Macaca mulatta: one gene and its partners. The protein of the gene in region 3 purifies or fractionates together with the protein of the main gene of each other region. This does not show direct contact. Links are inferred from orthologs where the notes say so. Each region holds a gene or a part of one and is shown on either strand. Other genes may lie near its edges.

The links.
Region 1: the proteins of KBTBD7 (region 3) and TJP1 purify together in Homo sapiens (co-immunoprecipitation; 3 studies listed by BioGRID and IntAct, counting the BioPlex papers as one, with this or other methods). This does not show direct contact. The link is inferred for Macaca mulatta from reciprocal best matches to the Homo sapiens genes KBTBD7 and TJP1.
Region 2: the proteins of KBTBD7 (region 3) and MTERF4 purify together in Homo sapiens (co-immunoprecipitation; 3 studies listed by BioGRID and IntAct, counting the BioPlex papers as one, with this or other methods). This does not show direct contact. The link is inferred for Macaca mulatta from reciprocal best matches to the Homo sapiens genes KBTBD7 and MTERF4.
Region 4: the proteins of KBTBD7 (region 3) and TJP2 purify together in Homo sapiens (co-immunoprecipitation; 4 studies listed by BioGRID and IntAct, with this or other methods). This does not show direct contact. The link is inferred for Macaca mulatta from reciprocal best matches to the Homo sapiens genes KBTBD7 and TJP2.
Region 5: the proteins of KBTBD7 (region 3) and TMEM160 purify together in Homo sapiens (co-immunoprecipitation; 3 studies listed by BioGRID and IntAct, counting the BioPlex papers as one, with this or other methods). This does not show direct contact. The link is inferred for Macaca mulatta from reciprocal best matches to the Homo sapiens genes KBTBD7 and TMEM160.
Region 6: the proteins of KBTBD7 (region 3) and LLGL2 purify together in Homo sapiens (co-immunoprecipitation; 4 studies listed by BioGRID and IntAct, counting the BioPlex papers as one, with this or other methods). This does not show direct contact. The link is inferred for Macaca mulatta from reciprocal best matches to the Homo sapiens genes KBTBD7 and LLGL2.
Region 7: the proteins of KBTBD7 (region 3) and OBSL1 purify together in Homo sapiens (affinity purification with mass spectrometry; 3 studies listed by BioGRID and IntAct, with this or other methods). This does not show direct contact. The link is inferred for Macaca mulatta from reciprocal best matches to the Homo sapiens genes KBTBD7 and OBSL1.

What each region holds. Positions count from the first base shown.
Region 1 is NC_133412.1:8,711,510-8,715,009, forward strand, and holds part of TJP1 (tight junction protein 1), read left to right. Parts: intron 1-1,488; coding exon 1,489-1,706; intron 1,707-2,975; coding exon 2,976-3,119; intron 3,120-3,500. UniProt on the Homo sapiens protein: TJP1, TJP2, and TJP3 are closely related scaffolding proteins that link tight junction (TJ) transmembrane proteins such as claudins, junctional adhesion molecules, and occludin to the actin cytoskeleton.
Region 2 is NC_133417.1:146,364,363-146,368,637, reverse strand, and holds the start of MTERF4 (transcription termination factor 4, mitochondrial), read left to right. Parts: upstream 1-1,475; 5' UTR 1,476-1,513; coding exon 1,514-1,534; intron 1,535-2,573; exon of another isoform or gene 2,574-2,628; coding exon of another isoform or gene 2,629-2,631; intron 2,632-3,891; coding exon 3,892-4,275. UniProt on the Homo sapiens protein: Regulator of mitochondrial ribosome biogenesis and translation. Binds to mitochondrial ribosomal RNAs 16S, 12S and 7S and targets NSUN4 RNA methyltransferase to the mitochondrial large ribosomal subunit (39S).
Region 3 is NC_133422.1:20,614,150-20,618,439, reverse strand, and holds the start of KBTBD7 (kelch repeat and BTB domain-containing protein 7), read left to right. Parts: upstream 1-1,490; 5' UTR 1,491-1,799; coding exon 1,800-3,857; 3' UTR 3,858-4,290. UniProt on the Homo sapiens protein: As part of the CUL3(KBTBD6/7) E3 ubiquitin ligase complex functions as a substrate adapter for the RAC1 guanine exchange factor (GEF) TIAM1, mediating its 'Lys-48' ubiquitination and proteasomal degradation.
Region 4 is NC_133420.1:100,258,634-100,262,799, reverse strand, and holds the start of TJP2 (tight junction protein 2), read right to left. Parts: upstream 2,801-4,166; 5' UTR 2,794-2,800; coding exon 2,722-2,793; intron 1-2,721. UniProt on the Homo sapiens protein: Plays a role in tight junctions and adherens junctions. Acts as a positive regulator of RANKL-induced osteoclast differentiation, potentially via mediating downstream transcriptional activity.
Region 5 is NC_133424.1:59,525,747-59,529,884, forward strand, and holds the start of TMEM160 (transmembrane protein 160 precursor), read right to left. Parts: upstream 2,801-4,138; 5' UTR 2,792-2,800; coding exon 2,584-2,791; intron 574-2,583; coding exon 481-573; intron 117-480; coding exon 1-116.
Region 6 is NC_133421.1:85,273,742-85,277,170, reverse strand, and holds the end of LLGL2 (LLGL scribble cell polarity complex component 2), read right to left. Parts: intron 2,683-3,429; coding exon 2,418-2,682; intron 2,216-2,417; coding exon 2,065-2,215; exon of another isoform or gene 2,046-2,064; intron 1,751-2,045; coding exon 1,722-1,750; intron 1,591-1,721; exon of another isoform or gene 1,500-1,590; coding exon 1,452-1,499; intron 1,258-1,451; coding exon 1,215-1,257; intron 1,102-1,214; coding exon 1,043-1,101; intron 840-1,042; coding exon 832-839; coding exon of another isoform or gene 804-831; 3' UTR 501-803; downstream 1-500. UniProt on the Homo sapiens protein: Part of a complex with GPSM2/LGN, PRKCI/aPKC and PARD6B/Par-6, which may ensure the correct organization and orientation of bipolar spindles for normal cell division.
Region 7 is NC_133417.1:124,796,764-124,800,263, reverse strand, and holds part of OBSL1 (obscurin-like protein 1), read left to right. Parts: intron 1-67; coding exon 68-355; intron 356-541; coding exon 542-817; intron 818-1,763; coding exon 1,764-2,033; intron 2,034-2,197; coding exon 2,198-2,470; intron 2,471-3,500. UniProt on the Homo sapiens protein: Core component of the 3M complex, a complex required to regulate microtubule dynamics and genome integrity. It is unclear how the 3M complex regulates microtubules, it could act by controlling the level of a microtubule stabilizer.

The DNA of each region.
Region 1 (3,500 bases), on a different chromosome or scaffold from region 3:
GCCTCCCAAAGTGCTGGGATTACAGGTGTGAGCCACTGCACCCAGCCGAGAACCCATACTCTTAACCAGCCATGGCCTCTTGTATTCTCCTGACCTGCTGTTAAGGGGCATGTGGAGGACATCTAAAAACGTTAAATATCTATGTTCCTCTTTCATTATTTGTTCCACAATGATGCTAAGAAGAAAAATAGAATAGCCCTGACTGTTTAAAGAGCAGCAGTTAGTAAGATGGCTGAGCAAATGAGACAGAGCAAGCCCTCCTGGAGCCTCCCTGCAGCTCCTCTTTCCTGTCTTTCATTCCGTGGCGATTGCCCGGATGGATTCTGGCCACACATTAGCTCATCTCACCCTCCTACAGCCAGTTCCATTTTCATACCACCGTAAAGCAGAAGCAGTTATAGGCAGGGAGAACCAAAGGTCAGGATGGCCACCTGAGGCTGCTTTCCGAGAGCAAGGATGGTTATGGCGGTCACTGCCTTCCTAGCTCTGCACATCCACCGGTGGTCAGGGACAGACACAGTTGACCCCTGCTATGCAGCTCAGGCTGCACTCTGCTCCCTTGATATTGTGCCGTAGGATGTCGTCCCTGGCACTCCGGTCATGCTGGAGTGAAGCTGCAGCTACCTTCATGTGATTCTGTTTTGTTGGTCTTTCTGCTCACCTTTAAGCCCTGGCTCAAAACTGTCCTTCAGGAAGTCTTGATAGCCTCTATTTTTGAAGCCGTCATTGATACCACATCCCCTTTGCCTTTGGTGTTCTGTGATTACTAAGTTAATCTACTGTCTCTCTTTTTGTGGATGTTTGGGATGTGCCCATACAAGGGTCTTCAGCTCATGGAACCTTGGAAGCCTTGCCTTCTGCAGCAGGGTGGGCACTTGGTCCTCAGGGATGCTGAGGCAGGACCATATTCATGTGTACTTAAAATCCTAGGGAGATGTTATCAAGTCTGAGATGCTGTCAGCTGTGAGATGCACCATTGTTTTGTGTCACTAAGAATGGAAGAACAGCCGGGCACGGTGGCTCATGCCTCTAATCCCAGCACTTTGGGAGGCTGAGGCAGGTGGATCATGATGAGATTAGGAGTTTGAGACCAGCCCGGCCAATATGGTGAAACCCCATCTCTACTAAAAATACAAAAATTAGCCAGGCGTGGTGGCACATGCCTGTAGCCCCAGCTACTCGGGAGGCTGAGGCAGAAAAATCATTTGAACCTGGGAGGCAGAGGTTGCAGTGAGCCAAGATCGTGCCACTGCACTCCAGCCTGGGCAGCAGAGTGAGACTCTGTCTCAGAATAGTAATAATGATAATAATACTCTCTGAGATAACCCTGTCAGTAAAATCTGTTGCCAGAAACTTACCTTGTTAAAGTAACTTCTTGATTATATGGAGAAACAAAAGTAAAATGAAAGCACGTAATACAGTAGTAGTAAAAGCAAAGCACCTGTGTACTATTAGGAATTCACTCACTAGCCATTTCTGAACTTTCAGTCCTTCAGCTGTGGAAGAGGATGAAGATGAAGATGGTCATACTGTGGTGGCCACAGCGCGAGGCATATTTAACAGCAATGGTGGCGTGCTGAGTTCCATAGAAACTGGAGTCAGTATAATTATCCCTCAAGGAGCCATTCCCGAAGGAGTTGAGCAGGAAATCTATTTCAAGGTCTGCCGAGACAACAGCATCCTCCCACCTTTAGATAAAGAGAAAGGTAAATGTGTTTATTTTTCTCCTTAGTTTTGATAACTTAAGAGTTGCCCTGTGTGCACTTCAAAGCTTATAGTGCTTGGCTAAGGGGGTAATGCAGCACCTCTCTCTGCCTCCACCCTGGGCCACTAATAATAGCATGTTCCTTTCATCAGGGAGGTCCTTTCAGATGAGTGCTGTAGCGAGGGGTGCCCTGGGGATGGTGTTGCAAGCAGGCAGGAGGTGGCCTGAGGCAAGGCTGTGGTGGCCACACCGCCTGCTTTTACTTTTGGTATGAAGTAAAAAAATGATGGCATAGGACAGGCCACGGGGTGTCTCTCACTTGTGCCTGCTGAGCAGCCTGGGCTGACCTGACCAAGTTTGTCTTTGAGTCCGTCAGCCTTTGGGTCTCTGGAGATGGGTTAGGTAACACCCACTCAGAAAGGCTTTGCTGTGTCTTCACCTGATTGGAGAACCTAAACGTCTTGACAGGTACTGTCTTACCATCACCCCAGAACCCAGCACTAGTACATGCTCGGCAGAGTGCACGGAGTCTCAGAGGAGACGACAGTATGTTTCTGAGCTTCTTAAGGAAACTGTTATTTTCATAATCCTCCTGGATCTATCAGGATATTGTAACGAACTGTGTCGTGATTTAGCATCTTTTAGCAGTGCTTTTACTTTCCTAAATCAGTTAACACTTTCTTACGTTTTGCCAGAATACTGATATCTGATTCTGTACTCTGATTTTGGGGATATCCTGTTTTAAAAACCAGTAGGACTGACTGTGTTGGCCCTGCATGAATCCTTTAAGCATCTATGGAGCAAATTTTAAAAATGGAAAATATGTCACATTTGTAACAAGTACATTTGAATATGTTTTATACTATAGACCCATATGATTGAATGCAGTAGCCACTACCTGCACGTGGCTACCTCGCACTTGAAGTGTGACAATTTTGGATTGAAAGATGCTGGAAATGTGAAATAAACATCAAGTTCCAAAGATACCATATATTGGTTACATGTTGAAATAACAGTGTTTTGGTTATATTGAGTTATAATACTATACTATTTGTTATCACCTGTTTCTTTTTACTTTCTAACGTGGCTACTGGGAAATTTAAAATTCCATATGTGTCTGCTGTTACATTTTTTTTGTGGTCAGTGCGATTGTAGAGAACTAACTGCATTAGGCTTTCAAGCATATAATTAGAAGCAGGGTGAGGAAAACTGGGGGTCTAGAAGAAAGACCACATCCAACCTCTCTGCCTATCCCCTTTTCCAACTCCAGGTGAAACACTGCTGAGTCCCTTGGTGATGTGTGGTCCCCATGGCCTCAAGTTCCTGAAGCCTGTGGAGCTGCGCTTACCACACTGTGCGTCCATGACTCCTGACGGTTGGTCTTTTGCTCTAAAATCATCCGACTCCTCGTCGGGTATGCTGTCTTCACTCTGTCCTTTGGGGCTTTGGGGACTGTCGTTGATTAATACCTGGGCTGGTGATGCTACCCATGCTGTGTGTTAGCAAATCTCTCCCTCTGTTCCTGTGGCCTTGTAGGCATCACCGGTATTTCCACATTTATTTATGGTGCATATATTGTAAATAAATTCCATGGAAAGATAGAAGAGTTGCTTCCTTTTAAAAATTGATCATTTGGGCCAGGCGTGGTGGCTCACGCCTGTAGTCCCAGCACTTTGGGAGGCCAAGGCGGGTGGATCACCTAAGGTCAGGAGTTCGAGACCAGCCTGGCCAACATGGTGAAACCCCATCTATACTAAAAATACAAAAATTAGATGTGTTGGCACATGCCTGTAGT
Region 2 (4,275 bases), on a different chromosome or scaffold from region 3:
AGACAAGGTCTTGCTCTGTTACACAGGCTGGAGTGCAGTGGTGCAATCACGGCTCACTGCAGCCTCAACCTCGTGGACTCAAGTGATCCTCCCACCTCAGGCTCCTGAGTAGCTGGGACTACAGGTGCAGGCCACTGCTCCCGGCTAGTTTTTGTTTTTTGTAGAGACAGGGTTTTCCTATGTTGCTCAGGTTGGTCTTGAACTCCTGAGCCCGGTGATCCTCCTACCTCAGCCTCTCAGAGTGCTGGGATTACAGGCGTGGGCCACTTGCACCCTGCCAAAGAAACCAATTCTTTAGTTCTACACAGATTGGAACCTTCCTTTTCTTTGATATAATCCTTTTGTCAAAAGATAGTTGGCCGGGCACGGTGGCTCAAGCCTGTAATCCCAGCACTTTGGGAGGCCGAGATGGGCGGATCACGAGGTCAGGAGATCGAGACCATCCTGGCTAACACAGTGAAACCCCGTCTCTACTAAAAAAAAAAAAAAAAAGATAGTTTTACAGAAACAGTTTAGCACCCAACTCCGTGCCTGGCGCAGAGCAGATATGTAAATGTGTACCCATGCAAGAATCAAATCCTTTATGTCAGTCCAGAATGAAGTGGATAAAACAAGAAATGCTTATAAATTAAGGCTTTGGTGGCAGGATTTAGGCAGCTGAGAAAGCACACCTTTTTATTCTTCACAAACATCACCTTTTGAAAGATGCCTACGCTCTTATCCTCAAACATGTCGAGAGAGAAAATTTAAGAATGAATACACTTTGGGCTGTAACTTTACTGTATTTCATCCTAACAGGGACCCAGACCTCTAAGTTGGGAAGGCTCTTGCTTATAAAGGGAAATGTCCCATAATTCCTGTCATTTTACTTGGGTCTTTTAAAAACGGCAAATTCTCATCTTCCACTGGCTGAGAGTAAAAAAGAAATAAAAGCGGTAAAGACTTCTTTTTGTGCGTAGGTGGCCCCGCTGTTCATGGTGAATACAGATTTTTACACAATGAAACCTTAAATATCTCTATCTGGAACGGAATCCGTTTTTCCTGCCTCGGGAAGGATTTCTGCGCTCTCGGGTGAAGTTCCTGAAGCAAGGAACCAGTTCCCCTCTCCCTGTATCTACCCGTCCTCTTGAGAGGAATTCTCAGGTCACCTGAAACACGAGTGTGGGCCAGGACGACCCATTCGTTCACCCAGCCCAGAGCTCTGCGAAGCGGGACACGGGCAGTGCAACGGGAACGACCGGACGCCGACGCCCCCGAGGACTGAGGCCGCGGCAGAGGCGGCGGGGCGGTGACGGGCGCGACTCCGGCCTCCCAGCTTTGCGGAGGGGCGGCCCCGGGACACCCGAGCCCCGCGGGGTCGTGAGGGCTCAGCACAGCTACGGGCCGGAACCATGATCCACCAGCACCGCGCTGGCGCTGGGAACTGCGGTGGTGACGGACCGAGGGCCGGAAGTGAAGGACCGGGGAGGACGGCTGCTTCCGGCGCCGTAGCTGTCGCCATCTCCTCCGCGCCATGGCTGCGTTGGGCCGTCAGGTGAGGTCGCGCTGGGCGCGGGGGCTTCTCCAGGTGGCAGATGGGGGGGCAGCGACGCAGAGGAACCGCGGCCGCCGGGTGTTTCACGGCCAGGTCGTGGAGCCCTTCTGGAGGTCCGTGCACGGTGACCTGGTTTTGGCATCCTGGACCCGTGGCTCTGCTCAATTTTTGTGGGGTATAGAGTTGACTTTTTTTTTTTTTTTTTTTTTTTGAGACAGAGTATCGCTCTGTCGCCAGGCTTGAGTGCAGTGGCGCGATCTCGGCTCACCGCAGCCTCCGCTTCCTGGGTTCAAGCGATTCTGCTTCAGCCGAGTAGCTGGGATTACCAGCGCCCGCCGCCATGCCCGGCTAATTTTTGTATTTTTAGTAGAGACGGCGTTTCACCGTGTTGGCCAGGCTGGTCTCTAACGCCTGGCCTCAGGTGATCCACCCGCCTCGAACTCCCAAAGTGCTGGGATTGCAGGCGTGAGCCGCCGCGCCCGGCCTGAGTTGACTCTTGAACAAGAGTTTGAACTTCACAAGGAAGGTAACATGTATTTACTATTCATTAAGAGGAAGCGGAATCCGCATAAAGGTCTTTAGGCTCAAGCCCAGTTTCCCGGGCTGCGCCCGCTGAGCCCAGCGACTGCCCGGTGTTCCTGGCGGAGGGAGCATCTGGACAGGGGAGGCTGGAGAGCAGCCATGGGCTTGGCAGGCTGGCCCCGGGGCGACAGTCGACGCTGGAGAAGGGGTTGGGACCGATGTGAAGGGTTTAGAGCAGGGGTTCCCCAATCCTCGGTACCGGTCCCTGGCCTGTTAGGAACCAGGCTGCACAGCAGGAGGTGAGCGGCGAGTGAGCCAGCCAAACTTGGTGTGCATTTACAGCCACTCCCCTCGCTGGCATTGCAGCCTGAGCTCCGCCTCCCGTCGGACCAGCCGCCTTAGACTCTCACTGCAGCGCGAACCCTATTGTGGACTGCGCCTTTGAGGGATCTAGGTTGCCTGCTCCTTATGAGAATCTAATGCCTGATGATCTGTCACTGTTTCCCATCACCCCCAGATGGGACCTTCTGGTTGTAGGAAAACAAGTTCAGGGCTCCCAGTGATTCTACATTATGGTGAGTTGTATAATTATTTCATCTTCTATTACAACGTGAAAATAATAGAAATAAAGTGTACAACAACTGTAATGTGCTTGAATCATCCGGAAACCCCTCAGCAGTCTGTGGAAAAACTGTCTTCCTTGAAGGCAGTCCCTGGTGCCAGAAAGGTTGAAGACTGCTGGCTTAGAGTGCCTGGATGATTTGTGCATAGTTTGTTAAGCACCATCCTGAACAGCTGAAGACTTTTGAGTCAACTGGAATTGTGTATGCAAGTTGACTAACTACTGTGACCCTTGAACAACACAGGAGTTAGGGGCACCAGACCGCCCCGACACCAGTTGAAAATCAGTGTATAATGTTTGACTTCTCTAAAACTCAACTACTAATAGCCTACTCATGACTGGAAGTCTTACCGGCAACATAAACAGTCCGTTAACACATATCGTGTTTATCTACTGCACTCTGTGTTCTTAACATAAGCTAGAGAAAAGAAAACGTTATTAAGAAAACCATAAGGGCAAAACCCCGTCTCTACAAAAAATACAAAAATTAGCAGGGTGTAGTGTGCGCCTGTAGTCCCAGCTACTCAGAAGGCTGGGGTGGGAGGATCACCTCAGCCTGGGGAGGTCAAGGCTGCAGTGAGCCATGATTGCACCACTACACTCCAGCCTAGGCAACAGAGTGAGACCCCATCTCAAAAAACAAACAAAAATCCTAAGAGAAAATGTATTTACTATTCATTAAGAGGAAGCAGATCCTCATAAGGTCTTTAGGCTGACGTGGAGGTAGAGGAGAGTTTGGTCTTGGTGTCTCAAGGGTGGCAGAGGTGGAAGAAAATCCACATATAAGTGGATCCGAGCAGTTCAAACCCTTGTTGTTCAAGGGCCAACTCTATCCCACAAGATTCTTCTCGTGGAATGAATTTAAGAACATGAATCTGGAAAGCAGTCTGAGGTCCAGTCTTTTCTGGCACACATGACCAGGTGACCTGGTTTTTCCCTCTTCCTCCATGTCTCTGCTTCCGTCCTTAAAGCTACAAAAGCCAACAATATTGTACCTGCTTGACTCCCATCTCTGTGACCTTGAAGTACCCTGTTCTCTCTATGTGAGCTTCCTTCTCTGTAGCTTAAGTTCAGATATGATTTTGCAGATTGCTTTAAAAACTGTATGTTTGTGTGGAACCAAGGCAGTAAGTACTCTGGCTCAAAGGTCTTGTGGTGTCCATTACACTGGGATAGTGAGGAATTAATTGTCTTTTGGTCCTGTGTCTTACAGGTCCTTGATTGGCACCGCCTGATCCCCCTCACCTGGGCCTGGATGGCTAGGCAGACTCCTCATCTTGGAGAACAGAGAAGGATGACAGCTTCCTTGTTGCGCAAACTGACCACAGCCTCCAATGGAGGGGTCACTGAGGAGTTATCTTGTGTTAGATCCAATAACTATGTGCAGGAACCAGAGTGCAGGAGGAATCGTGTTCAGTGCCGCCTCGAGAAGCAGAGGACTCCTGTGGAACAAGGGTCCTTGGAGCTAGAGAGGGTCATCAGTTCCCTCCTGGACATGGGTTTCAGCAATGCCCATATTAATGAATTGCTCAGTATACGACCAGGTGCCAGTCTTCAACAGTTGCTGGACATCATTTCAGAATTTATTCTCTTGGGT
Region 3 (4,290 bases):
GTTATGGTAATATAAACTAGCAGCAGGAGCAGTCACTGGTTTTGTAATAAAAGTTATCTGAAAAAGTCAATCTGTTACCAGTGGAGGGTGTCCAGGTTCTTGGCGTTTTGGACAAAGAATTGGAAGAAACACATAAACAAAGCAAGGAAAGAATGAAACAACAAAATCAGAGATGTACTGAAAATGAAAGTACACTCCAGTGTGGGCGCAGGCCCAGCACAGGGCTCAAGGGCCCTGTTACAGAATTCCTGGAGGTTTAAATACCCTCTAGAGGATTCACTGGTTACTTGGTGTATACCCTATGTAAACGAAGAGAATGAATTAAAGTTACAAACTCATTTACTCGGCATACACCCTATGGAGAGGATATTTCTTGTTATAGCTAAAGTGTGAATCGGCCTTATGTTCCCTGCCTCCAGACCCTATTTTCCTGCCTCAAATCTCTAATACTTGATTTTGATGATTTAACTGTTGATCAATGCAAATATAAAAGACTTTTGTAAAGCATAGGCTATACTGTATGTTAATTCAAGGAATGTCAGGGCATGTACTAATGCTGAATTCTGAGAATCACGTGCTTTTGTACAGAACAAAGTCTGTTTCTTGAAATATTTTGAGTTAAATACTCCCTAAAACTCCTTAATAAAGGCAATTACAGAATCTGTTAATTGATATGTGGAATGGCAGTGAAAGAGGCTGTATTAGACGACTTGAAAACACTCATATTTGGAGCTTAATGAAAATATTCCTGCTCCCCAGAGATGAAATGTTAGTGAGAGTAGCAAATAATCTATTTTTATATGCCCGATTTGCATATTTGAGGCCATCTATTAACACCGTTCTTTAGGACCTCAACCTAGTCGTCTAAGACATCCTTATTAAACAAGGCCAATACGTACCATTTAACATTGAAAATAGTTAATGCCCTTCAAAATCTTTCAAAAGAATAAAAATTAAAAACTAAGTTCTTTGTAAAATTTTGCGGTTTAAAATAATTTTTAAAATTTTAAAAATTTTTTGGTTTCAAATTAGTGGGTGCCTCATTTATCATAAATTATAAAAGAGAATCTAACAATTATTGGCTACATTCTAGGCACGGGGTAACGCTTTATTGTTCTTCTAACCAAAAAAATATATGTATCTAAGTATCCTATGTAACGTATCATTCAATCACACAAAACCCTATGAAATACTGGCAGGGCCCGGTGGCTCACGCCTGTAATCCCAGCACTTTGAGAGGCAGAGGCAGGAGGATAATTTGAGCCCTCAGGAGTTCAAGACCAGCCTGGACAACAATAGTGAGACATCGTCACTTCACCATCATATCCAGAATTAATTTCTACTGTTAGGGCAGTCAGCGAAAGGAAAGCTCGCGATATTACACAAACTACTACTCCCAACATGCAAAGCGGTTTCTTTCCCTCTGTCCCCGCCCGGCCGTCCGAGAGCCCCAGCAGGCCTCGGGGCGCGAAAGGCAACCTGGAAGCGGTAGTTCTCCTGGGCGCCTAGCGGGATCGCCAGCGCGGCAGTGGGGCCTTCCGCGGCTCCAAGCCAGCGGGTCCTGTGAGGGCGAGCGGAGGCGGAGAAAGGGCGCGGGAGTGAGAGAGGGTGAGTCAGCCACTGTCTACGCAATAAAGGGAGGCCTCACCGCGGGCTAGGGCTGAATTCAGAAGTGCGGCCCGTGCCGCAGTCTGTTCCAGGACGCGGCTTGTCTTAGCGTCTGCGAGGGAAGGTTGAGGAGGAGCCAGAGCCGGGTCCGGCAGCCTTTCTCGCTATCAGCGCCCGTCGCCATCTCCACCATGCAGTCCCGGGAAGACGCCCCGCGCTCTCGCCGCCTCGCCAGCCCCCGCGGTGGGAGGCGGCCCAAGAGGATTTCCAAGCCCTCGGTTTCGGCCTTTTTCACGGGTCCAGAGGAATTAAAGGACACGGCCCATTCTGCAGCCCTGCTGGCACAGCTCAAGTCTTTCTACGACGCGCGGCTGCTGTGTGATGTGACCATCGAGGTGGTGACGCCTGGCAGCGGGCCTGGCACGGGTCGCCTCTTTTCCTGCAATCGCAACGTGCTAGCAGCTGCGTGTCCCTACTTCAAGAGCATGTTCACAGGTGGCATGTACGAGAGCCAGCAGGCCAGCGTGACCATGCACGATGTGGACGCCGAGTCCTTCGAGGTGTTGGTCGACTACTGCTACACGGGTCGTGTGTCTCTCAGCGAGGCCAATGTGCAGCGCCTGTACGCAGCCTCCGACATGCTGCAACTGGAGTATGTGCGGGAAGCCTGTGCCTCCTTCTTAGCCCGACGTCTTGACCTGACCAACTGCACCGCCATCCTCAAGTTTGCAGACGCCTTCGACCATCACAAGCTTCGATCTCAGGCCCAGTCCTATATAGCTCAGAACTTCAAGCAGCTCAGCCGAATGGGTTCAATTCGGGAAGAGACTCTAGCAGATCTGACCCTGGCCCAGCTGCTGGCTGTCCTGCGCTTGGATAGTCTGGACATAGAGAGTGAGCGGACTGTATGCCATGTAGCTGTGCAGTGGCTGGAGGCTGCTCCCAAGGAGCGGGGTCCCAGTGCTGCGGAAGTCTTCAAGTGCGTGCGCTGGATGCACTTCACTGAAGAAGATCAGGACTACTTAGAAGGGCTGCTGACCAAGCCCATTGTGAAGAAGTACTGCCTGGACGTTATTGAAGGGGCCCTGCAGATGCGCTATGGTGACCTGTTGTACAAGTCTCTGGTGCCAGTGCCAAACAGCAGCAGCAGCAGCAGTAGCAGCAGCAACTCTCTTGTATCTGCAGCAGAAAATCCACCCCAGAGACTGGGTATGTGTGCCAAGGAGATGGTGATCTTCTTTGGACACCCCAGAGATCCCTTTCTCTGCTATGACCCTTACTCAGGGGACATTTACACAATGCCATCACCTTTGACCAGCTTTGCTCACACTAAGACTGTTACCTCCTCAGCTGTCTGTGTCTCCCCAGACCATGACATCTATCTAGCTGCCCAGCCAAGGAAAGACCTCTGGGTGTATAAACCAGCTCAGAATAGTTGGCAGCAACTTGCAGATCGCTTGCTGTGTCGTGAGGGCATGGATGTGGCATATCTCAATGGCTACATCTACATTTTGGGGGGGCGAGACCCTATTACTGGAGTTAAGTTGAAGGAAGTGGAATGCTACAGTGTTCAGAGAAACCAGTGGGCATTGGTGGCTCCTGTCCCTCATTCCTTCTATTCCTTTGAACTCATAGTGGTTCAGAACTATCTTTATGCTGTCAACAGTAAGCGCATGCTCTGCTATGATCCTAGCCACAATATGTGGCTGAACTGTGCTTCTCTTAAACGCAGTGACTTTCAGGAAGCATGTGTTTTCAATGATGAAATCTATTGTATCTGTGACATCCCAGTCATGAAGGTCTACAACCCAGCTAGGGGAGAATGGAGGCGGATTAGTAATATTCCTTTGGATTCAGAGACCCACAACTACCAGATTGTCAATCATGACCGAAAGTTGCTTCTCATCACTTCTACAACCCCACAATGGAAAAAGAACCGAGTAACAGTGTATGAGTATGATACTAGGGAAGATCAGTGGATTAATATAGGTACTATGTTAGGCCTTTTGCAGTTTGACTCTGGCTTTATTTGCCTTTGTGCCCGTGTTTATCCTTCCTGCCTTGAACCTGGTCAGAGTTTTATTACTGAGGAAGATGATGCACGGAGTGAGTCTAGTACTGAATGGGACTTAGATGGATTCAGTGAGCTGGACTCTGAGTCAGGAAGTTCAAGTTCTTTTTCAGATGATGAAGTCTGGGTGCAAGTAGCACCTCAGCGAAATGCACAGGATCAGCAGGGTTCTTTGTAAATAGATTTTGAGACACTAAGATGTTTCTACTGCTACGGAATGTATTTTAAACACATATCCTTTCTTTTTCTTGAAAAAAAAAAAGTTGACCAGGACCACAGATTTGGTTTAGAAAGGGTAATATTTTGAAATACTACAAGGTTTAAACAGTCCACAAAATCGACCTGTTTAATAATATACCTTCCTGAAAGTCCAAAATTAAAATATGGAAGCAAGAACTATGTAATTGACTGGGATGCTTGGTAGGTTTTTTTCATTGTTCAAATATTCATTGCACAGTGGATTGTTTTGATTAGTTAGTATGCTTTTTTTTTTTTAATTAATTCAGTCTTCTGTTAATTTTTAAGTTTTGGTTAGTGCCACAAGGAATTTAACTTTTTAATCTGTACAATAGAAAACTGGACTAGGAATTGTTGGTGGAGTTTTGAAGGAT
Region 4 (4,166 bases), on a different chromosome or scaffold from region 3:
AGCAAACTACTGAGTGTCTTTCCTGCCTCATTTATATAATTTTTCAGAAACATAGAGCACCCCACATAATCATCCTTATTCCTCAGAACATCAGCTCTGGGAACATCCCTGGGCTGCCAGGGTGCAGCAGCTTAGCTGGGAGCTGTGGTCATGGCATTCAAACTAGGCCACCGGGCTCTGGTCCCGCCCAACTTGTGCTTGGCTATGCGCAGATCAGACTTGCTAGCAATAACTGACGTTTCTCTGAATGACAGCAGGTAGCTGCTTAGCACGAGGGGGAGCTTTACAGGCAGGCCCATAGAGACAGCACACATACATCAGAATTAAAGGCATGCACATTCCACGACCCAGTCATTCCTCTACCCAGGCAGAGGCCCCCAGAAAACTGTGTGACTATATGCACAAGGACACATGTATATTCACAGCAGCAATGTTCCCAACGGCCAAAACCTGGAAAATATCCCAGTATCTCTCAAGGGCAGGATGGACAAATTGATACATTATTAAAATACAATGTTATATTGCAATGAAGACAGACAAACCAGTCACACAGACCACCACAAAAGGGATGCATCTCAAACATAAAGTTGAGTGAAAAACACCCCAGAAGGATTTGTAGAGTATGATACCATTTTTATACAGCTCAAAAAACAATGTTTTACAACAACTTGAATAACTTTACACTACTGAACTGTACATTTACAAATGGTAAAGACAGTAAATTTTGTTATGCATTTTCGCTACAGAAAAAAATTGCCAACAAAATTAATCTATTATTTAGGGGTGTGTGTTTGTGTGTATGTGTATGTGTGTGCGCGCGTACGCACCCATGCAGTGAAAATATAAAGAAAAAGCAAGGAAATGAAAAACATAACATTCAGGATGAGGTGACCTGGCCAGGAGGCAGAGTGTGGTGGGAGGTACACAAATTTCCCTTGTGTTTTGTTTTGGTAACGGTCTGCAGATATGTGTAATGGGCTCATGGCATTTGTTTATTATGCTTCATGATTTAGATATTTAATTCTTTTAGAGTACCAAACATTTCATAAGTTTAAAAGAATAGGGAGATGAGGCCAGGCCAGGCGCAGTGGCTCATGCCTGTAATCCCAGCACTTTGGGAGGCCGAGATAGGTGGATCACAAGGTCAGGAGACCGGGACCGTCCTGGCTAACACAGTGAAACCCCATCTCTACTAAAAATACAAAAAATTAGCTGGGCGTAGTGGTGGGCACCTGTAGTCCCAGCTACTCGGGAGGCTGAGGCAGGAGAATGGCGTGAACCCGGGAGGCGGAGCTTGCAGTGAGCCGAGATCGCACCACTGCACTCCAGCCTGGGCAACAGAGCTAGACTCCGTCTCAAAAAATAAATAAATAAAATAAATAAATAAATAAAAAATAGGGAGATGAGTGGGTGAACATCAAAGTGAATACTCACTCCTGGTGAAGGATCTAGGTATCCAAGAGGCACAGGTATACTTAACAGCAAATTTTTCAATGCAGTTAGAATTTTGCAAAGTGAAGAGGGTACAATAATTTCAACTGGAAGGAGAGCGAGTTGAGGGATGGTACCAGTAATTTGAAAGGGGCAAGGGGGGTGAAGCAAGGCAGGTGCGGTGGGCAGGGTGGGGACACAGGTGTTAGGTCTGGGGAGCTGTGGGGGGAGGTGCACGCAGAAAACGCTAAATCGCCTTCTTAATCCAAGTGTCAACATTCTATCCATCAGGAGGATCTTCAATGTGCTTTCATCATCTTTCCTTATCACTTTTACTTTTCATGTAAGTAGTGTTCATGACAACCCCCTTTATATCGTAACAGGCTTCTTAGACCTCATGGAAAGTTAAAAGTAAGCTAACTCTTCTACCATAAACAAAAAACTTAATGCATTAACAGTAAGGTTTTTGTGTGACAAAATAAGAGAAAGGAACTAAGGCAAATAGTTATTTGTTGTGCTTTTTTTAATCTACTTTTTATAAAGCTTTTTTCCTTCGAAAAATCTTGGCCAGACAGGTTAAAATCCTATATATTTTACATAAAAAATGTAGAAACGTGTTAAAAGCCAACCCTAAAACAGATACCGAAGTGTTCACTGCCCAAAGTCCCCCTGAGCAGGCAGCTTTTAGATTCTATATCCACGGACTGCTGCTGCCCAGTGATGGAGGTCAAAGCTAAAACCAAAGATTAATTGAAAGCTGTCCACATAAGAGACACGCTTCGTAAGTCTCAAGTCATAAAAGTAAACACTCACACATGTTCAAACCACAAGGAAAAAAAGAACATGTGAAAAACACTTTTTCTTCTTCTAAGTTAGAAGCCTAGACATAGTAAGAATATAGATTTCTGCAACATAAGAAAGCAAAAAGTTTTATGCCAAAACAAGAAATTCTCATACATGAACAAACACAAAAGCCAGTATGTTAAGCTCTACCCAGGAAGCAAAACCATTACAGATTCCGAGCACATGGACAACAGCAGCCTTTGATCCACAGATCCAGTAAGAGGCTATAAGTTTCACACAGATGTGCTAAAATCAATACAAGTATTTTTTTAAAAAACCACCAGTGACTAACTACAACCTACAATCTCACAATTTGTTGCTGAAAGATGCCAGAAGCACAAACACATCTGAGGATAAAGGAGTTACTGAGAGAATGGTTTTGCTTCCCTCCCCTTCCCATGAAGAAAGGTTGGGGAAAACAAGGGGAGAGCTTGCAGAGGGACTCACACGGCCTTTCCATCTCCCCAACTTTTTAACAGCCTGGATCCACATCCTACGCAGGGCTTGAGCAGTCTTCATGGTCTCTGGAGATGCATGGGCCAGGCCACCGCCTACATCCCGGGCTGCTCACCCATTTCCATCACTCCACGTGGTTACGTAAGGCGGATACAATAGTGGCCCACATTTCCAGCAAATCCTGTTGTCATCTCACACAGTGACACATCCATACGGCAGGGATGCCAAACGCTTTGAAAAGCACTACTTATGAGCAAAAAAGAAAGCAGTTCGGATTTGCACCACTTTCACAGCTTTTTTCTTCTCCCTCTCTCTCCCTTGCCAGGGAACTAGAGCATCCGAGTAGGTATTTCTTTTAGGCACATAAAATGATTCACCATCTAAGTTGACAGTATTAAGTAAATGAGACATTTTAGAGCAACACTATGGAAAAGAATAGTTAGAGAAGTATTTATGTATACAGTATAGACCCTCTGATACACACACACACACACAAGCCAGCCAGAAATAAACTAGCAATGTTTCAGGTCAACTGAATGGCTAATGTTACATAGAAATTAAAAGGCATGAAAAGAAAACATTTTATATCCTTGGAGATAACAAGGGGGAGATAAGACTCGATCATTTGGTGCTGCTCAGAGACAACTCAGGGACAGAAGGCTTGCTCAGCAAAGTTCCACTATCTAACCTTTTTGGAAACTTAGCAGATAAAAGAATAACAAAGAACCCTGCCGTCTGTTTCTTTGTCTTTACCACCTGGGGAGAAGGGAGGGGTGGAGAAGCAAATTTTAGGTTTCTGAACATCTAGCAAAGATTTTATGGGATGCTTGGGGCTTGGGAGCTGGGGTTGGGATTTCAGAAGCCTGGTCTTGGGGAGCCTCTGGCCAATTCTTGCTACCATGGTGTATGTTATATGCCAATGGGTTGAGTCAAATAGCTTGCAAATGGAAAATGTGCCATCTGATTTGAGGCTGAGATGTATATAAATCTGGACCATGAGATGGCCACCATCTAGGAAACAAGGCGAAGCAGAGCCAACGAAGTGATTTTTAAAGTCACAAGATCTGGAGTGAGATCCTTGTCCTGTCACTTAGCTGTGGGGCACTGGATATACTATACCCTTCTTTATACAGTGGCGATAAAACCATCTACACCTCAGAAGGGCAATGTCAGCAAGAAACAAGGCAATCTCCACAAAGCACTCGTGCTGGTGCAGGACAGGCACTGGGAAATGTGTGTGTCCTTTCCTAAGGGTCTATGACAGTAAGTTCTCAGTTGAGTTCTTAGTAAGTGTTATGACAGTTAAATGAGATCAAAAGTGAATAAAAGTTTGTTTCAAATCCTACACTTTGCCAGGTACAGTTGCTCATGCCTGTAATCCTAGCACTCTGGGAGGTCGAGATGCGCAGATCGCCTGAGCCCAGAAGTTCGAGAGC
Region 5 (4,138 bases), on a different chromosome or scaffold from region 3:
CACGCCCACGGCCGCGCCCCCCAGCGTCAGCTGCATGGGCCCTCGCAGCGCCGCCAGGCCCACCGCGTACGAGGCACTGCCCCACACCACGCACAGGCCGCCCAGCAGGAAGAAGCCTGCGGGAGAGGCAGGGTAGCGACAGGGCCAAGGTCGGGGGACGAAAAGGTATCGGGGGTGTGGGGAATGGTCTGGGAGCAAAGCCAGGGTTGAGGAGACAGGAACAGAGGCAGGGCCGTGCCAGGGGCTGGACTGCATCTTTGAGAATCAGATCGGAGGGGAGGGGACCATAGCCATGTCCTGGGCCACCCATTCAGATGGGCCCATGGGAGGGGTGTCTTCCTGGTGGGGGAAGAATGGGGGTTCTGTGCTTACTACTGGGAGTGGGATGGGATGGGAAAGTCTACCCTCACCAGGACAGGTGGTAGGGGCTCTGGATTCCCTGGTTCCCTGGTGGAGGTGAGAGTGGGGATCTGTACTCACCATATGCTGCTTCGCGACCCATGTCACTCTGCATGAAGGAGATGACTCCGATGCCCGATGCCAGGAGGCCATTTCGGAACCAGGAGAGAAAGGCTGGAGGGAGGGAGACATGGGGGGATTAACATCACCCCCAACCCTACCTCCTCAATCTCCCTTGCCCTGTAAAACTGAAGGGGCTCCCCCTTCAGCTCACTCCACCCCATGCAGCCACAAGGCAAGCCCACCCCAAATCCTCACCTCTTCCTGGAAGTCCCTCACCTAACCACATCCCCCCACATGCTCTCTGGCCTCCACCTCAGTGCCCCTCTCCCCCAAACTCTGTAACACTAAGGATTCAAGGGCTGGGTGCGGTGGCTCACGCCTGTAGTTCCAGCACTTTGGGAGGCCAAGGCAGGTAGATCACGAGGTCAGGAGTTTGAGACTAGCCTGGCCAACATAGTCAAACCCCGTCTCTACTAAAAATACTAAAATTAGCAGGGTGTGGTGGCACGTGCCTGTAGTCCCAGCTATTCGGGAAGCTGAGGGAGGAGAATCACTTGAATCCAGGAGGTGGAGTTTGTAGTGAGCCAAGATCTTGCCACAGCACTCCAGCCTGGGTGACAGAGCGAGACTCCGTCTCAAAAAAATAAATAAAGGATTCAAGATAGTCCCTGCAGAATGTGGAGGACAATCCAGGGGCAAAATTGCAGAACCTCCAATCTGAAGAGCCATCCTGACCAACCCCCTCCCTCTATGTATATCCCCACGGCCTGCCTACTTACTTCTTTCTCAGAACTCTGGGGCAAACTTTCCTAACCCAGGCCGCACTTCAGCCTCGCCCTTCCTTTCCTTCAAATGCCGCCATCTCCTACCGAGTATGGCCTGCGCCAATCCCATCCACGTCCGTCCCCATTCAAGTCCCTTACAAACAGCCCACCACACCCTATATCTAGATACCCAGTACTGGCCCAGTGAGGTGGCTCACGCCTGTAATCCCAGCACTTTGGGAAGCCAAGGCAAGATTGTATGAGCCCAAGAGTTCAGACCAGCCTGGGCAACAAAGCGAGACCCCGTCTCTGCATAAATTAAAATAGTTGGGCACGGTGGTGTATGCCTGTAGCGCCAGCTAAGCAGGAGGCTGAGGCAAGAGGATGACTTGAGTCCAGGAGTTGAAGGCTGCAGTGGGCTAAAATTGTGCCACTGCACTCAAGCCTGGGTGACAGAGCAAAACATTGTCATTAAAAAAATAAAATTGGCCGGGCGCGGTGGCTCAAGCCTGTAATCCCAGCACTTTGGGAGGCCGAGACGGGCGGATCACGAGGTTAGGAGATCGAGACCATCCTGGCTAACACGGTGAAACCCCGTCTCTACTAAAAAATACAAAAAACTAGCCGGGCGAGGTGGCGGGCGCCTGTAGTCACAGCTACTTGAGAGGCTGAGGCAGGAGAATGGCGTAAACCCGGGAGGCGGAGCTTGCAGTGAGCTGAGATCCGGCCACTGCACTCCAGCCCCGATGACAGAGCGAGACTCCGTCTCAAAAAAATAAATTAATTAAATTAAATTAAATTAAATTAAATTAAAAAAAAAAATAGATGGCCACTCCGCTACATTCTGGACCTCGCCTCCGTCACAAGCCCCGCCCCCTGCAGCCTAGATCACCTCCCCCTCCAATCAGCAGAGAGCTTTTTCCCTATTGGTTGTCCCCTCCTCCAATCCTGAACTTCCCCCTCGTCTGCGGGGATCCACACTCCCGCTCTCTGCACAGTGGTGGCCTCTGTAATCGGGACGGACCCCTCTAGTACCCAACTCCACAGACTCTAAGCTTTCCCTGGAAGCCCCTCTTCACACGACAGGCGCGATTCTACGAGGCTGCCTCGCGCAACCCTACCACCCCCTCCAATCCCTACGGCGCCCCGTTACGCGGGGTCCTCGTCCTCCCCGAAAGCCCATCCTCTCTGCGGGCACCTGCGCTCTTGCACTCTGCGCTTCCGTGCGCTCACACTGAAGCCCTTCTCGGAGCCGAGCCCGGGCCCCGTTTCCTGCAGAAGCCTCCGCCCCATCGAGGTTCCACGCGCGCCCGGGACCCCCGTCCCATCCACGCCGCCCCCACCTCCAGCCACCGACCTGTCTCGTGCGCCTTTCGGAGGAGCCAGGCGTCCGCACGGTCCAGCTCGGACACTGGGGGCGGCGAAGCCCCGGCGCGGGGACCGTGGCCGGGGGCGAAGGACCCCCGGGCGCCCCCGCTCCGGGGCCGCTGAGGCGGCAGTAGCGACCTCCGGAAGCGGAGACGGGCGAGGCGAGCGGCCCGAGCCCACCACCAGCCGCCTCCCATGGTTCGCACTACGGGCGCCGCGCGCCGTACCGCCCCACGGGCCTCCTGTAGGTTGCAACCCATGTCACTCAGGCTGAATGGCTTACCCATTGGCTATGCGCTCGCCACTCAGTTTCGGCGTGAACTGTCCATTGGTCGGAATGGTAGTGATTCCCTCCTCTGTCATCTAGGCCGGTAGTGCGCGTCCCTCCTTGATTTTGTCACTGGACTACGAATCCCAGCGATCATTGCGTTCGGGGAAAGACGATCTACAGAAGTCGTAGGCGAGATGTCTGCTGGAACTTGTAGTTTTTATTCTATTTTTTTTTTTTTAACGGAGTACACGCTGAACACCTATTGTAGTTCTTTTCTTTTCCTTTCTCTCTCTCTATTTCTTTCCTTCCTTCCTTCTTTCTTTCTCTTTCCTTCCTTCTCTTTCTTCTTTCTCTCCTTCCTTCCCTCCTTCCTTCCTTCCTTCCTTCCTTCTCTTTCTTCTTTCTTTTTCTCCTTCCTTCCCTCCTTCCTTCCTTCCTTTCCTCCCTCTTCTTTTCTCTTTTCTTTTCTTCTTTTTTTTTCTTCGGAGACTGAGTCTTGCTCTGTCGCCCAGGCTGCAGTGCAGTGGCGTGATCTCGGCTCACTGCAACCTCCGCCTCTCGGGTTCAAGCAATTCTCCGGCCTCAGCCTCCCGCATAGCTGGGATTAGAGGCACCTGCCATCACGCCCGGCTAATTTTTGTATTTTTAGTAAAGACGGGGTTTCACCATGTTGGTCAGGCTGGTCTCAAACTCCTGACCTCATGATCTGACCGCTTCAGCCTCCCAAAGCACTGGGGTTACAGGCGTGAGCCACCGCACCCGGCCTGTAGTTTGTATTAATTACGTCAATTCCAATGGCCAGAAAACAAAACAAAACGTGGGGCACTTAATGGAGAATCTTTGCAAAATCTTGAAGATCTCAGAAAGGAGAGTAAACCTCAACAGTAATTCCACCAATGAGTGATTACTACTACCATCTTGTATTCCTGTCCAGTGTTTTTTCTATGCAGATATAAAATAAGATGCCACCTGACCATTAATTTTTCTTCACATAACAATATATTGTGATCATTAACCCAAAGCATTGATTTTTTATGGCTTTTTTTTTTTTTTTAATTCTAAGTATCAGGCCAGGCCAGGCGCAGTGGCTCACGCCTGTAATCTCAACACATTTTGGGAGGCTGAGGCAGGCAGATCATTTGAGGTCAGGAGTTTGAGACCAGCCTGGTGAAACCCTGTCTCTACTACAAATACAAAAATTATGGCCTGGCATAGTGGCTCACGCCTAAAGTGAGGCCAAGGTGGGTGGGTCACCTGAGGTCAGGAATTCGAG
Region 6 (3,429 bases), on a different chromosome or scaffold from region 3:
ACACCAGAGAACCCCACGCACTGGCCATACAGTAGGTGCTCAACGAAGACGAGTCAATAAAGATCCAACCCATGTCCAATCTAAATAACCCAGCCTCTCCCCTGGGGGAGGCCTTTCTCCTTGGGGACCACCTCCCCTTCAGCAGCACCCCACAGTCCTCCCTGGTGTCTGGAGGAAGCCAACAGGTCTGAGATACTGGGGTGCCCTTCTCCTCCTGACAGTAGGGAAAGGCCAGCCAGGGGTGGCCAGGACCCAGGGAAACAAGTAAGGCAGACTCAAGATGGTTCGTGCTTGCTATGTGTTCCCAGAGAGGGAAGGCACAGCCGGGCTCAGACACAACTACGCAGTTTGATTCACACGACTCCCAAAGTGGATTCTCCTGATGCCAGCCCAGGCCAGGGCTAGAGCCTCGGGGGACAGGCAGGGTACCGGCTCCCACTTTGTATTCACATGGAAAATTTCTACACAATTGAAATATTAAAGTAGGTGGACCAGTCCAGTGAAGAGGTAATAGGTGTTTATTAAAAACTTTTTCACCCAGAGGCAGTTACCATGTATAACTTAAACCCCAGCCCACTACAAAAAGGGATGGGGGCAATAAAAACTGTGCAACATTGACCAAAGGACCCAGACAGACGAGACCCGGGAAGGGCAGCCCCAGGGGCCGGGGCCTCTCCTCTCCCGAGGCCTGGAGCAGCTGCATTGTGGAAGCCGGGGCGCCCCTATCCCCTGGTGTGGCCCTGTGCACCGGCCTCTCCGGCTGGGGCAGGGACCTCCAAAAGGCCATCAGTAGTAGTGTGTGCTCATCGTGCAGCCTGGCCGCTCAGCCACTCACTCTGCTGAAGGACACAGAGGGACAGCTCAGGATCGCCCTGGGCAGGACGGGGTGCCCCAGCCGCCCACACTGAGCCCAGACATGGTGCTTTCCAGGTCATCAGGGCACGTGTACGGCCCTGTGGAATCCAGGGGAGTGGGACCAGGGCTCTTCCTCCCATCCCTTCCCAGCACATCTGGCAACTGCACTCAAGCCCAGAGCCCCCACCTCCGCCATTGCTGAGGCTGCGCCCCATGGCCGCTCGATGTGAATGCCAGTTGAGGCTCCTGCATGGGCAAAGACAGGGGAGTCATGACCTCAGGGGGCCTCCACTCCCAGCGCTCCCGAGCCCCCTGGCAGAGCCCCGGGCCCACCCCAGCCAGCCTGGGTGGTGCCTCACCCGCGGTCTCCCTCCAGTGTGCTCTGGATTTCCTTCAGGACTCCTGCAGGCCGGGTGGGAACAGAGGCCCACTGAGGCCCTTGGGGCGGCCAGCCACAGCCTTTCCACCCCCTTTCACCATGGGTGCCGGATGGATCTGTCCCCTGCCTCAGGGTAACGGCCTGCCCACCCTCCCTTGACCCTGATCCCCCCTTCCCCACCCCTCCTGCCAGCCCCACGCTCTCCCACCCAACTCACTCTCATCACTGAGCAGAGCGCGCTCCATCACCAAGCCGGGCTGCTTCTCTGGAAGGTAGAGGCCGGGTCAGGGAGCCCCGCCTGGGCCCTCCTCGGCCTGGCTCTCTCCTTACTGAGGTCGGGATGTGGAAGCCCAGGGCTGGAAGGAATGCCGTCTCTACTCCCAGCCCAAACACTACCTGCTCACTCAGGACCCCGTCCCTCCCGTCCAGCCCCAGGTCTGGGCTGGGTGTGGCCCAGGTGTGCATGGGCCCAGGAGGCCTGTCTTACCCTCGCCATCACTCTGAGTCCCTGAGTTCCTGTGGGGAGAGAGACAGTGAGGACCAGGGCCTCTGGGCTCCCTGCCCAGCTCTGAGAGCCCTGGTCCCATGAAGAACAAAGTCAATGGTGCAGCCTGCCCTGAGCAGGAGAGCCTGGGAGGTAAACTGAGTCCTGCCCTGGACTGCCAGCTTGCACAGGGGCAAGGGGCACGCGAAGAGGTATAGAGAGCCAGAGCCTGGGAGGGTGGGCTGAGCTTGTGGGGAGGTGTCTCTGGCCAGGCAGCAGTGGGAGCCTCAGGGTATCTCAGAGAGGGCAGGGAGGGGCAGGAGAGGCCTCTGGCCCTTTCACTCACCTGGCTCGGCTCGGCACCTTCTTGGGGCCTGCCCCGTTACCAGGGCGGTGGTTCTTGGTTTCTGCTGAATCCACCAGACACCGGGGCTCCACCAGCCACTTGGTGGAGAGAGAGAAGCGCTCGAACTCCGAGGGTGAGATCAGGTAGAAGCCTGGGGAGTGGGGGCAATGCTAGTGGCCTGGCCTGGTGGCTGCCAAGGCTGCTTCCCAACCTGGGGGAGCAGGGGCTAGCGTTCCCTCGCAGTTCTCCGCTTAAGGCCCATCCAGTCTGGCCATGGCCACAACACCCCTGGCCACCCTTCCCGTCCCTGCAGTGCCTGGGGCCCCCACACCCGCCCAGCCCAGCTCGAACACCTTGGCCATATTTGGTGAAGACGCAGGAGGCGATGCCACTGACGTCCTCCCGGCGGATGCAGCTGTAGCGCACCTGGGGCTTGAGCAGTGGCAGCGACACCACCTGGATGTCACCCAGATTGGTGAGGACTGCCAGGTGGTGCTCCCCATAGTCCTCAGCTCGACGACTGCCGAAGTGGGCCACGCTGACCCGCCTCACCCTTGAGCCCTCCAGGGCCGTCAGCTTCAGCTTCAGCTTGGCACTCACCTTGGGCAGCGTGAACACCTGGGGGTGCGGGGTGGTCGTTCACGCCCATGGCCAAACCAGTTCTCCTGTGAGGTGCTGTAGGTGCTGGGCCCTCCCCTCCCCGCATGCCTCCCGGTGTCCTGGCAAACCCTTGGCTCTCAGATGCACAGACACAGCCTGGGGGGATGCCGAGGTCACCGACTTCCCTGTCTGGAATTTTTTTTTTTTTTGAGACAGAGTCTTGCTCTGTCACCCAGGCTGGAGTGCAGTGGTATGATCTCGGCTCACTGCAAGCTCCACCTCCCAGGTTCACATCATTCTCCTGCCTCAGCTTCCCAAGTAGCTGGGATTACAGGCACCCGCTACCACGCCCGGCTAAATTTTTGTATTTTTAGTAGGGATGGGGTTACACCACGTTAGCCAGGATGGTCTTGATCTCCTGACCTCATGATCTGCCCACCTCGGCCTCCCAAAGTGCTGGGATTACAGGTGGAAGCCACCGTGCCCAGCCTTTTTTTTTTTTTCTGAGATAGAGTCTTGCTCTGTTGCCCAGGCTCAACTACAGCAGCGTGATCTCGGCTTACTGCAACCTCCGCCTCAAGTAATTCTCCTGCCTCAGTCTCCCGAGTAGAGCTGGGATTACAGGCGGCCGCCACCACGCCGGGCTACATTTTTTTGTATTTTTAGTAGAGTTGGGGTTTCACCATGTTGGTCAGGCTGGTCTTGAACTCCTGACCTTGTGATCTGGCCTCCCAATGTGACTTGGCCTCCCAAAGTGCTGGGATT
Region 7 (3,500 bases), on a different chromosome or scaffold from region 3:
GCTCCTGGCCAACCCGGGGCAGGGAGGCAAGGGCAAGCATGCGCTGACACCCTCCTCTCTTGTCCAGAGGCCCCAGTGCAGTTCCTTGCTCCAGAGACAACCCCAAGTCCGCTGTGTGTGGCCCCGGGGGAGCCAGTGGTGCTGAGCTGTGAACTGTCCCGGGCTGGCGCCCCCGTGGTCTGGAGCCACAATGGGAGGCCTGTGCAGGAGGGCGAGGGCTTAGAGCTCCATGCCGAGGGCCCCCGCCGAGTCCTCTGCATCCAGGCTGCAAGCCTAGCCCATGCAGGGCTCTACACCTGCCAGTCGGGAGCAGCCCCAGGAGCCCCGAGCCTCAGCTTCACTGTCCAGGTGGCTGGTGAGTACAGCCTCGGCACTAAGCCTGAGAGTGGCACCCCAAACCCTGTAGGATTCCTGCTTTTCCAGCATGTCCTGCCCATCCCTGGCCCCGCTTCTCTTAGTACCCTCCCCATCATGCCTCCCCCTGCCCTCCTCAAAGCCCTGAGCCTCTCCCCCCCAGTGACCTCCAGCTCTGACTCCACAGAGCCCCCTGTGCGGGTGGTAGCTCCCGAGGCAGCCCAGACGAGGGTTCGGAGCACCCCAGGCGGGGACCTAGAGCTGGTGGTGCACCTCTCCGGGCCAGGGGGCCCTGTGCGCTGGTACAAGGACGGGGAGCGACTGGCAAGCCAGGGACGGGTGCAGCTGGAGCAGGCCGGGGCCAGGCAGGTGCTGCGGGTGCAGGGGGCACGAAGTGGGGACGCTGGGGAGTACCTGTGTGACGCGCCCCAGGACAGCCGCATCTTTCTTGTCAGCGTGGAAGGTAACAGCGTACCCCTCAAACCCTGTGGGCTCTGGCACCCCAAGGACCACCTGGTACACTTTAGGGCCCCCTTACCCCTCCATCCCCGCTTTGCTGCCTCTGGCTCCAACCAGGGTGTGCATGACCATCACTTGGATAGGGGCTCAGGGCTCCCCTTTCCAGAAACCCTCATGTGAGAGGGTTAAAAGCATAGACTGGGCCGGGCGCGGTGGCTCAAGCCTGTAATCCCAGCACTTTGGGAGGCCGAGACGGGCGGATCACAAGGTCAGGAGATCGAGACCATCCTGGCTAACACGGTGAAACCCCGTCTCTACTAAAAAATACAAAAAACTAGCCGGGCGAGGTGGTGGGCGCCTATAGTCCCAGCTACTCGGGAGGCTGAGGCAGGAGAATGGCGTGAACCCGGGAGGCAGAGCTTACAGTGAGCTGAGATCCGGCCACTGCACTCCAGCCTGGGCGACAGAGCGAGACTCCCTCTCAAAAAAAAAAAAAAAAAAAAAAAAAAAAAAGCATAGACTGGTGGTTAAAAGCAGAGGCTCTGGCGTCCACCCACCCAGGTTCCAGCCTGGATTTTGTGCCCCAGTAGCTGTGTGACATTGGCAAAGTTGTTCAACCTGTGTGAGCCCCAGTTCTGAAAAGAGGGGATAGTGCTTGTCTTATAGACCTGTTGTGACAAGTAAATGCTGTAAATAGGGTCCCTGGTAAATGATATTATTAGTGCATCACCAAGGTGGGGTGCTAGGCTAGGATTGCGAGGAACTGACTAAAAGAATTGGCAGGGAGCTGGCATCTTGTCCTTTGGGCCACCCGTGTGGTCGATACATAGTAGGTCCTCACGGAAGGTTTGTTAAATGACTGGGGATGAGGGCCTGTACCCTGAGGAGGGGATGAAAAGGAGAGAGGAGAAAAGACCCAGCCCAGCTCACTGCCTGACCGTGCCCCTCAGAGCCACTGCCGGTGAAGCTGGTCTCAGAGCTGACACCACTCACTGTCCACGAGGGCGATGATGCCACGTTCCGGTGTAAAGTCTCCCCACCAGATGCCGATGTCACCTGGCTGCGCAATGGGGCCGTCGTCACTCCAGGGCCCCAGGTGGAGATGGCCCAGAATGGTTCAAGCCGCATCTTAACCTTGCGAGGCTGCCAACTGGGTGATGCAGGGACCGTGACTGTGCGGGCAGGGAGCACGACCACAAGTGCCCGGCTCCATGTTCGAGGTTAGGTCCTGGTGAGGATGAGGTGCTCTGTGTCCTGTGCCTGTACTCCCAACTCAGACCCCAGCAGCCTTGCCCATCTACCTAGGGACAGACCAGTGGGATGGAGCAAGGGGCCAGCTTCCAACCCCACCAGGCTCCATGGCCTCCTCCTTCTTCCCCACCAGAGACAGAGCTGCTGTTCCTACGGCGGTTGCAGGACGTGCGGGCAGAGGAAGGCCAGGACGTGTGTCTCGAAGTGGAGACAGGCCGAGTGGGTGCAGCGGGGGCTGTGCGCTGGGTACGAGGTGGGCAGCCCCTGCCCCACGACTCTCGCCTGTCCATGGCCCAGGATGGGCACATCCACCGCCTCTACATCCATGGTGTCATACTAGCTGACCAGGGCACCTACGGCTGTGAGAGTCACCACGATCGCACACTGGCCAGGCTCAGCGTGAGGCGTGAGTGCCCTGTCCTCTCTTAATGCATTACCCACCCCACAGCACAGCCTTTTCTGGCTGTCCTGGAGTCCCTCAGGCCCCCACCAAAGTGCCCCTCACCGCTGAGAAAAGTCAACCGTGGCCGTCCCAGCAGCAGCCTGCCCAAAGCAAAACTTTTCTTTTTCTAATATTTTTTATTTACCTTAGAAGTCCATGTGGATTTTGCATTCCATTGCATATTTCAAGTTGGCTTTGCTATAAACACAAATATTCTCCAGAAAGACCTGCCGTGGGCATCCTTCAGTCATGTATTCTAGGGATACACATACCCACTTAAGTAGCAGGGATGACTGGCAAACAGCACCCCACACGTCCTACCCAAAGCTGGAGCCCTCTGTTTCCTGTGTGACCTCATGCAAGTTAACCTCTCTGAGCCAAGTCTCCTTAAAAATGGGGCTGAGACCAGGTGCAGTGGCTGATGCCTGTAATCCTAACACTTTGGGAGACCAAGGCAGGAGGATCCCTTGAGGCCAGTAGTTTGAGGCCATCCTGGGCAACATAGCAAGAACCCGTCTCTACAAAAAAAATAAAAATTAGCCAGGCATGGTAGTTACTAGGGAGGCTGAGGTGGAATGATTGCTTGAACTCAGGAGTTTGAGGCTGTAGTGAGCTATGATCATGCCATGGCATTCCAGCCTGGATGACAGCAAGACCCTGTCTCAAATTTTTAAAATGGGGTTGATCCCCGTCTCAAGTGTCTCTGGGAACATTAACTGAGATGAAAATTCTTACACAGAGATTGGTGAATGGTTGTCATTGGTGACACATCTGTTCTAACTTATTTCATTCAAGAAATCATCACAATAAACCTGTGTCCCAGTGTTATTCACCTTGTACAGCTGGGGCAACTGGGGCCCAGAGAGGTCAGGCCATTTGCCAAAGATCACACAGCACACTAACTATGTGGTAGAGCGAGGTTCCATTCTAGTGTGTCTGACGCCAAATTCCATGCTCCTTCAAGTGTCACAGTACCCCTCACCCAGACTCCATG